Linked DNA regions of Cricetulus griseus. The protein of the gene in region 2 interacts with the protein of the main gene of each other region in a pairwise test. Links are inferred from orthologs where the notes say so. Each region holds a gene or a part of one and is shown on either strand. Other genes may lie near its edges.

Evidence for each region.
Region 1: the proteins of Zmym2 (region 2) and Foxp1 come close enough for resonance energy transfer, tested with the Homo sapiens proteins (2 studies listed by BioGRID). The link is inferred for Cricetulus griseus from reciprocal best matches to the Homo sapiens genes ZMYM2 and FOXP1.

The regions. Positions count from the first base shown.
Region 1 is NC_048601.1:44,450,256-44,454,832, reverse strand, and holds the start of Foxp1 (forkhead box protein P1), read right to left. Parts: upstream 3,007-4,577; 5' UTR 2,851-3,006; intron 1,033-2,850; 5' UTR 923-1,032; intron 1-922. UniProt on the Homo sapiens protein: Transcriptional repressor. Can act with CTBP1 to synergistically repress transcription but CTPBP1 is not essential. Plays an important role in the specification and differentiation of lung epithelium.
Region 2 is NW_023276807.1:211,964,616-211,968,424, reverse strand, and holds part of Zmym2 (zinc finger MYM-type protein 2), read right to left. Parts: intron 2,995-3,809; coding exon 2,709-2,994; intron 782-2,708; coding exon 616-781; intron 1-615. UniProt on the Homo sapiens protein: Involved in the negative regulation of transcription.

The DNA.
Region 1 (4,577 bases), on a different chromosome or scaffold from region 2:
TCAAAACTAGAATGGAATTCTTGAAAAAGACCTGAAGTAGAAAATAGCAAGAACCTAGCTGCCTCCTTAAGCAAGCAAACCCTGGATAGAAACCACCTCAAGTCTTACTAGCCCTCATCAAATTCTCATCAAGCTAGCCCCAAAACTCATTCTCACTGTGAAAAAATAAGAGTGCAAGAAAGGCAAGAATTTAGGATACTCCAAAACATTTTCAGGAACAGAAAAAAATTCCTTAGATATCCTTGGGTGTTTTTCTCAGCTTAGCTATTTTGTAAGTTCTTCCAGGCTATGGCCCAAGGAAGGTGAAGTGCATAGGGCTCCCAAAATGTTCCCGCAGCCTTCTTGCTTAAAGAGGAGAGACAGAATAAGAAATCTGATCCTGGAAAATACCTGGAGCCTGCCGTGAGAGCAATCCTGAGCCCTCAGCAGTGTGCTGAAGAAGCTCAAATGAAGTGTTCATATTAATTTCATTATTCTACTTAAACCACCCAGATGAAGGGGCTGGTGGGGGGGGGGACAGAAAAAGGAAGGAATAAGTTTCATTTTGGGTCCTCTAGTCAAGCAATAAGAAAATAAATTAAGATGAAAGCGTAGGATGAGCCTAGCCTAAATCAATACACTGAAATCAGCCCAGCTAGAGTATTGGACACAATGGCTTGGAAATAATTAATAGTTATAAGGGGGGAGCGGGCTGAGAGCAAGGGATGTCACCATTTTACACTTCACATTCCACGCTAACTTTGATATCGGATTCAGGGAAGAAAGTGATAGAAAAGGGAGAAAGCAGGTCCCAGCCTGATGGACACATTCCTTGCTCCCCGTGGCTGGTCACAGCGATCTGGTTGCCCAGGCTGGTTGGTACAGCGCCTCGGCTTCCCCGCTTCCCCCCGCCCGCACGCCTGCCACGGCCGCCTCGACTTACCCACCGAGTCTGGGGAGGAGGCGCCGGCAGCTCCACGCTTCTCCGCGCCGCCGCTGCCCCTCGCCCGTTCGCCCGCCGCGCGCCGTCCTCCTGGGGCAAACTTTCGGGGTCTGTGACCGACAAGAGACCGGGACGACCCTCAGCAAGTCTTCCTTCCGTGAAGGTTTCGGGGTGGGGGGGATCGAAGGGGACGAGGTGATTAGGCGGAAGGGGGCGAGACCAGAGATAGAGGAGGCAACCTCCAAGCGCTCGGGGACAGGGGAGGAGGATGCGCGGCCGGGAATCCCTGCAGGGATCCGGAGACCCGGAGCGCGGCCTGAGCCTTAGTCTCAGCACCTTCCCGGGATCTTACAAAGTTGCAACAACAAAAAAGGAGGGGCAGAACCGGGGGAAAGGGGTGGGATAGGGCTGCGATGGCAGGCGCAAGGTTTGGAGTTACAACTGTTTATTTAGTCCTTAAGGCTCCCAGGGGGCGGGAGCTGCGCGGGAATGGGGGTGCTGCAGGCAGCAATTTCCAAGCAAACACGGAGGGGGGGGGGGCATGCGACTTTGTTTCTGGGCTCGGAGCTCCCTGGCGCCCGTGTGTGTCACCGCCAGTCTCCGGGGACTGAGGCGGAGCTCACAACAGGTGGGGAGGGGGACAAGGAATCAAAGTTTCCGAGAGCGGCGGGAGGGGGGGGAGCGCGGGAGGCGGGGGCGAGGGAAGGCGGAGGCAGCAGATGACCACGACCCTGCGGCAGCTGGCAAACTCCTCGGCTCCCGGCGCCGCCGCCACCGCCTCGGTCCCCACCCGAAGCGCGCGCCGCCTCGTCTCGTCGGCTCCGGAGAGACGTCTCCGGGGGACAAGAACCGAGTGCCGAGAGCACGGGAGGAAAGCTGCGCACAGGCGAGAAACGGAGAGCCATCGGTGGCCGGGACAGGGCCGGAGGGACGCGGTGGCACGCGCGTGTAGCAGGACAGATCCCTGAGCTTAAGAGGCGCAGGAGTCAGAAGCGAAAGTGTATGGTGGCGGGGGATCCAAAGTACGGGCGCCGAGGGTCCTCGAGACGTGCCCTGTCCCCATGCCCACCCGCGATTCGGCTACGGCTGCCGCGGGCGCCGTCTCTGACAAGCGGGGGCCGAACGCGCGTGGGGTGCGTGTCTGGCAGAGGGTGCGCGGGTGTGTGTATGAGTTTTCTGGGCTCCCAGGGGTTAGCTAGAGAGCATCCACACGGCTGAGTTCGGACCAAAACACGCGTGGCTACAGGGATGTCGCCAAGCACCGGGCCCAGGGCGCAGGCGTCCCTGCTCAGCCCTCCAGCATTCGCCGGGCAGCCCGGGGTACAGAAGGGGCACGCACCCTTGGATAGCAGGGGAAAAGTTTGCTCCAAGTTCAAACTTTGAGCTCGGGAGAGGATGCCGCACGCCCCCGCCAACCGCGGCCGGGTTCCGGGTACCCGTACCAGGCGGCCACCAAACGCTGACGCTGGGCACTCAAAGTTGCGACAGGCGGCCTGGGCTTATTGATCGCTGTACCCGAGCGGTGTGAGCGAGCGCAGGGGCGCGAGGGGCCAAGGGGGAGACGAGCTTGTCCGTGCGGTCACCACCGCACCCCACAGTGACTTATGCAAATGAACCCAAGGGTGCGGGCGCCTCCCGCGCTTCCTCCAAACCGGCGCCCGCGCGCGGCCCCCACCCACGCAGATCCTGGGCCCCGATTCGGGAGCGAGTCAAGAACAGAGGGTTGGGGGAGATGCACGTGGAGCCTGGAGATGAAAAGTAGGAAATTTTTTCTGTATCTTTTTTTTCTTTTTTTTTTTCCTTTTTTTTTTTTTTTTTTTTTTTTTTTTTTGGTGCTGGTTGTTGTTGTTGTTTAAAGTGGCGGAAACAAGGCAGGAGGCGGCTTGGGGAAAAAAAAGTGGAGCAGAAATGGAAAAATACGAACTCACCCGCGGCAAATGGTCTCTCGGTGCAAACTAAGGTGTTTTCGGGGCCTTTCCCCGCGCGCGCCCACTCCCGCCCGCGCGCGCGCCCCCCGCTCACACACTCACGCGCGCACACACGCACTCGCGGGCGAGGGCCGGGCCGCGAGCACAGCGTGCAGCTGCCACACAATAAATAACAATAGATTCCTCCGCTTGGGACTCGTTCCCGAGTCGCGCCAGCGTTGCAGCCGCGAGGCGCCCCCAACCCGCCCCAGCCCCCAGCCGGGTCCAAACCCCGCCATGCTCACTCCCGAGGCCCCCGCGACCCCCCGAGAGCGACCTACACCTCTCTACGCCGCCCTTGGGTCGCCTGCCCCCTCCCCGCGGCATCCCGGAACAAATAAATAAATAAGGCGCGCGCGAGAGGCCATCGCGTCGCGGAGGGAGATGTTGTTATTTTTTGCTGTTGTGCGTCTCTGACGTCACATCCACCTGCTGGGTAAACAACAGGGCTCGCAGAAGAAAAAAAAAAAAAAAAAAGAATCGCAATTGCCAAGTGAGGGACGTGGGGAGGGGAAGAGGAGAGGGAGGCAGAGCCCCGAAACCCGGGACGGGAACGCCACAACAGTTCCCAGGCAAAGGGAGACTGGATTGAAAGAGCTGGAAAATGAGGGGCCTGGGGGGTGAAGGGGTCCCCTCAGGAGAAGAGGAGAGGGACCCATGCAGACCCAGGGAAATGGAGAGGAGGAGTGTCAGCAACTAGGGACGCAGAGGGGAATGCCAGGGAGGTTCCGCTAAGATCTGAGCTCCAAAATCCAGGAGGGGAGAGGACAGGCGGAGATGGAGTTTCCTCCAGTTAAAAGTGAAAGTGCTTCGCCTGGGTGACAGTTGGAGCGGAGGGCGGCAGGGGCGGCGTTCCAGCCCCACGCCTGCTCTCGGGTCCTCCCTCGGTCTCTCCCCTTTCCTTCTGCACTTTGTCCAATGAAAGAAGGCGAGTTCGGAAGGTGAAAGTTCAGCTGAAGGACAAACCCCTGATTGCAAGGAAACAGAAACCCCTCCAGCCAGGGGGATTTTCCCCTGCATCGCGGAATCGGGAGAGAGTGATGAGAGCAAGAACTTACTCCCTCAGGCCTTGTCAGTCTCTGCAGGAATGTTGTCCCTGTCGCCAGGTCCACTTGGGGGGAAAGTGGCTGCAAGGAGAACTGTGTTTTCGCCACGGTTCCTCTTAAGAAAACACCCGGGGGCTAGCATGTCAATCACTTGTTTAACACAAATTACCTGCTCTCTCGAACATCAGTCACGTGAGAAAAAAGCTTTGTGCAATTCTTTGGGAAGGTGAGATTTTTTTTTCTTTTTGCTGTAATGAAGTTTGTTTGAGTGTGTGAATTTAAATAAGTACCCAAACGAGCCCAGATGAAATGTTTTTGAAATATAAATAAAAGTACATAAGACAAAAAGCACTTTTAGCAATATAAATAGGCAGGGAAGCTGATTCTGTTTTCAGCGCGGGTCTTAGAAACCGGACCTCTGTGGCTTCTAGTGAACAGAGATTATTTTGGGGTCTCCTCCAAAGCGCTTAGGGAGCTGAGGCTTGCTTACTGCCGTTTGCATCTTGAGAATAACACAGATATAAATAATACTCTTACTCCGTTATAATAGATTCTCCTGGATAATGTCTTTTGACAAATATTAAATGTTCATTTGCAGAATGTAAAACTGAATTGAAATGAGGTGAGACTATCATTTAAATT
Region 2 (3,809 bases):
GGAAATGATAAAGTACACTGCACTAGGCAAGGAAGAAGAAAAGCCAGTACTACAAGCAATTCAAATAAGGTATGCATATATAGGTTACTTTAATGTTTATTTTTTTGTTTTGTTTTGGTTTTTTCTGGTTTTTTGAGACACGGTTTCTCTGTGAATCCTTGGCTGTCCTGGAACTCGCTCTGTAGACCAGGCTGGCCTCGACCTCACAGAGATCCGCCTACCTCTGCCTCCTGAGTGCTGAGACTAAAGTAAAGGTGTGCATCACCAACGCCCAGCATTTATTATTTTTTGAAAATTCTTCCACTTCTATTTGCCTGTGTTTATCTTTCCTGTGTAGTTAGCCTATTTGTATAAACATATTATTAGACCAGTAAAAAAGAAAAAGAGCAATCGTAACGCTATGACTTTTTCTGTGACTGCTCTCTCAATCTGATGAAACAAGGTAATTTTTCCTGAATCATTTTTCTGGAAGACTATGATTAAATAGTAGAATATTCTAAGAGTTTATATATCCTCACTTCTAATGATACATACACATAAAAAAAAGTAGGGAGAAACAGTCAACATCTAAAATGATCGCACATGAGAGCAAGTAAAAAATACAAAAGTACAAACCTCGGTCAGTTTGCCACAGATTGTGCATCTCGATTTATTTAGAGTTCCTTTGGCAGGACTCTGCTTGTCCTCATAGAGAGATAGACAAGATGTACTACAAAATTCTTGGAAGGACTCACTTGAATCCACTTGAGCAACAATTGTTCCTTTCATTGTAGTTATATCTCTGAAAAAAATAAGAGGTACAACTTACAAAGCTCCATTTCAAAAGAAACCAAAAATAAAAGTTATACCTGATATTTTTAATTTCCACAGATTGACTCATGAAAATCAAACACCATTTTTAGATTCAGGAGATCACGTTTAGTATAAAATATGAACTCTTGGCAATAAAGATTAAAAAGTCAAAATATTTGATCCTGTCACTAATAATTTATCATCAAATGTACTAACAAGGCTTTCAGATATTGGAAACAGTAAAATAAAATTACCATAATTACATAGAATTAAAGTCAAATTATTTAAAATGATAGATAGTGACTGTTGAATTTGCCTTCTGGACTAATAGGTAAGCATAAAATTCCTAGATTATAGGAATTTAACATCAAGAAAGACTACATGATGTTTTTTTCCCCCTTTGGGGTTTTCAAGAAAGGGTTTTTCTGTGTAGCCCTGGCTGTCCTGGAACTCACTCCATAGACCAAGCTGGCCTCAAACGCAGAAACTCACCAGTCTCTGTCTCCCAATTGTTGGTCGTGCACCACCACCACCACACAGCTTACATCAAATATTTTCTACTTAAATGCACCACTTGCCAGGCATGGCGGCTCACATCAATAATCCAAATACTTAAAAGGTAGAGGCAAAAAAGGATCAGGAGTTCAAGGTCTCAATATACAGCTAACCTAGATTACATAAGACCCTGTTTTGACATAAATCTTTGAATGAACTAACTAACTAATTAGATAAAATGATGAACAAATACAATAAGGGGGGCATGCACCTGTAATCCCAGCACTAGGAAGAAATAGCAGGACTGACACAAGTTTGAAGCCAGAATGTCTTACATAAAGTTCCAAGATAGCCTGGACTACATAGCAAGATATCTCAAAAAAAATAACAGTTGTTATTATTATTATTATTATTATTATTATTATTATAAATATGACACTACTGACTTTAAAAGAAATACTAAATATCTAGACTCTCCATTACAGTATTTAAGTGTATTATAAAATAATCTAAACACAGGCTGGAGAGATGGCTGAGTGGTTAAGAACACTGTTCTTCCAGAGGACCTGGATTTAATTCCCAACACTCGAAGGGCAGCTTCACAGCTGTCTGTGACTACAGTTCCAGGGAACCCAATAACTATGGCAAAACACCAATGCATATAAAATAAAACTAATTAAAAAAAAAATCTAAACTCTATTGAACAATTGTTACTGTGCTTAGATTTACTTTAAGAATAAAGCACTAAGCCCTTCTTGGAGGTCTAATACCTAAAAATAGCTTCAGACTTAGGCAACTCCAAGAGGGCACAGAAAATCCATCTGATATGACCCTGCAATACATTATATCATCCAGTTTTGTTTGCTATCATTAAGAACAGATATAAAATAGGACAGAAACTGTATTTCTAAGGATAGCAAAAAAAAGTACCTGTCATGACACTATAACATTCAAAACAAATACTCAAAAAACAAGAAGATCATAAATATAAATACAATGCATTCTTAATAATGCATTTGGTAGTAGTCAGCCTCTATGAGGTGAGGCTCAAGAGCCGAGCAGTGGTGGCACACGCCTTTAATCCCAGTACTGGGGAGGCAGAGGTAGGCGGATCTCTGTGAATTCAAGGTCAGCCTGGTCTACAAGAGCTAGTTCCAAAGCCACAGAGAAACCCTATCTCGAAAAAAACAAAAACAGTAAAACAATGTAAATATTCACATTTTTACAATCAAGAGATCCATTGGAGATGACAATCAAAATAATTACAAGGGCCTAAACAAATTAGCCCCAAACCTACCAAATAGGAAGCTGAATCTATAATTTTAAAACATGAAATCATCCCCAAGAGTCTCAATGAAATTTCTAAAAACTTTTATGATCACTGTTCAACCACATGAAATTGTGTGAAAGGTTAATCTTACTTTTTACACATAACACAGAGTTTCTTTGGAGCAGGTTTATGAGAGAAAGAAGAAAGGCAGGTGGTTGAACAGAAGAGGTGAGCTGATCCTTTGCGCTGATAAGCCGTCTGTCCCTTCTGTAGAGGTTTTTTGCAGTTTGCACAAGTGACTTTAACTGGTTTAGTGGGTTGTTGCTGGGTGGGAGGCTGGAATATCTGTTTAGGAAGTGAGGCCACTGGTGATAAAGAATCCACCCCTTGTTGTTTCTGATTACGAGGAAATGATGCTGACTGAGAGATCCAAGAATCTTAAAAAGAAAATATAGAGAAAAGAATAATCAAATAAGTATTTAAGGACATTGAAATTTATTATCAAAGAAAAAGTTTTACTTTTCCAATTTGCCAAGGTTTATAATAATAATTAAAGTCACATGTGGTGGCTCATGTCTATAATCCCAACACTTGGGAAACTGAAACAGAAGGATTGCCATAAATTTAAGACCTGTCTGAATTCAAAAGTAAAACCTGTCTCATGCTAATGAAGCTTGAAGCAGCAATTTTGCCGAGGTAGAGTGCCTGTGGGTAAGACTGTTTGCTTTCTAGAAACAATATATTATAGTCTTAAAAATGGCAAGATAAGGCCAGGCAGTGTTGGAACACACCTTTGATCCCAGAAAATGGGGGGCAGAGGAAGACGGATCACTGTGAGTTTGAGGCCAGCCTGGTCTACAGAGTGAGTTCCAGAGCTGCTATACACACACACACACACACACACACACACACACACACACACACACACACACACACAACCCTGTCTTGAAAAACAAAAAGATTTCAAGTGTGTGTGGGTTTTTTTTGGTTTTTTTGTTTTGTTTTGTTTTTGTTTTCCCCCCCAAGACAGGGTTTCTCTGTGGCTTTGGAGGCTGTCCTGGAACAAGCTATTATAGACCAGGCTGGCTAGAACTCACAGACATCTGCCTGCCTCTGCCTCCCGAGTGCTGGGATTAAAGGTATGCGCCACCAACCGGCTCAAGAGTTTTATAAAAAGAAAGGAAGTATATAGTACAATATGTGATAGGCTTGATTTAGCCATTCCACAATGTATACATATTTCTTATCAACA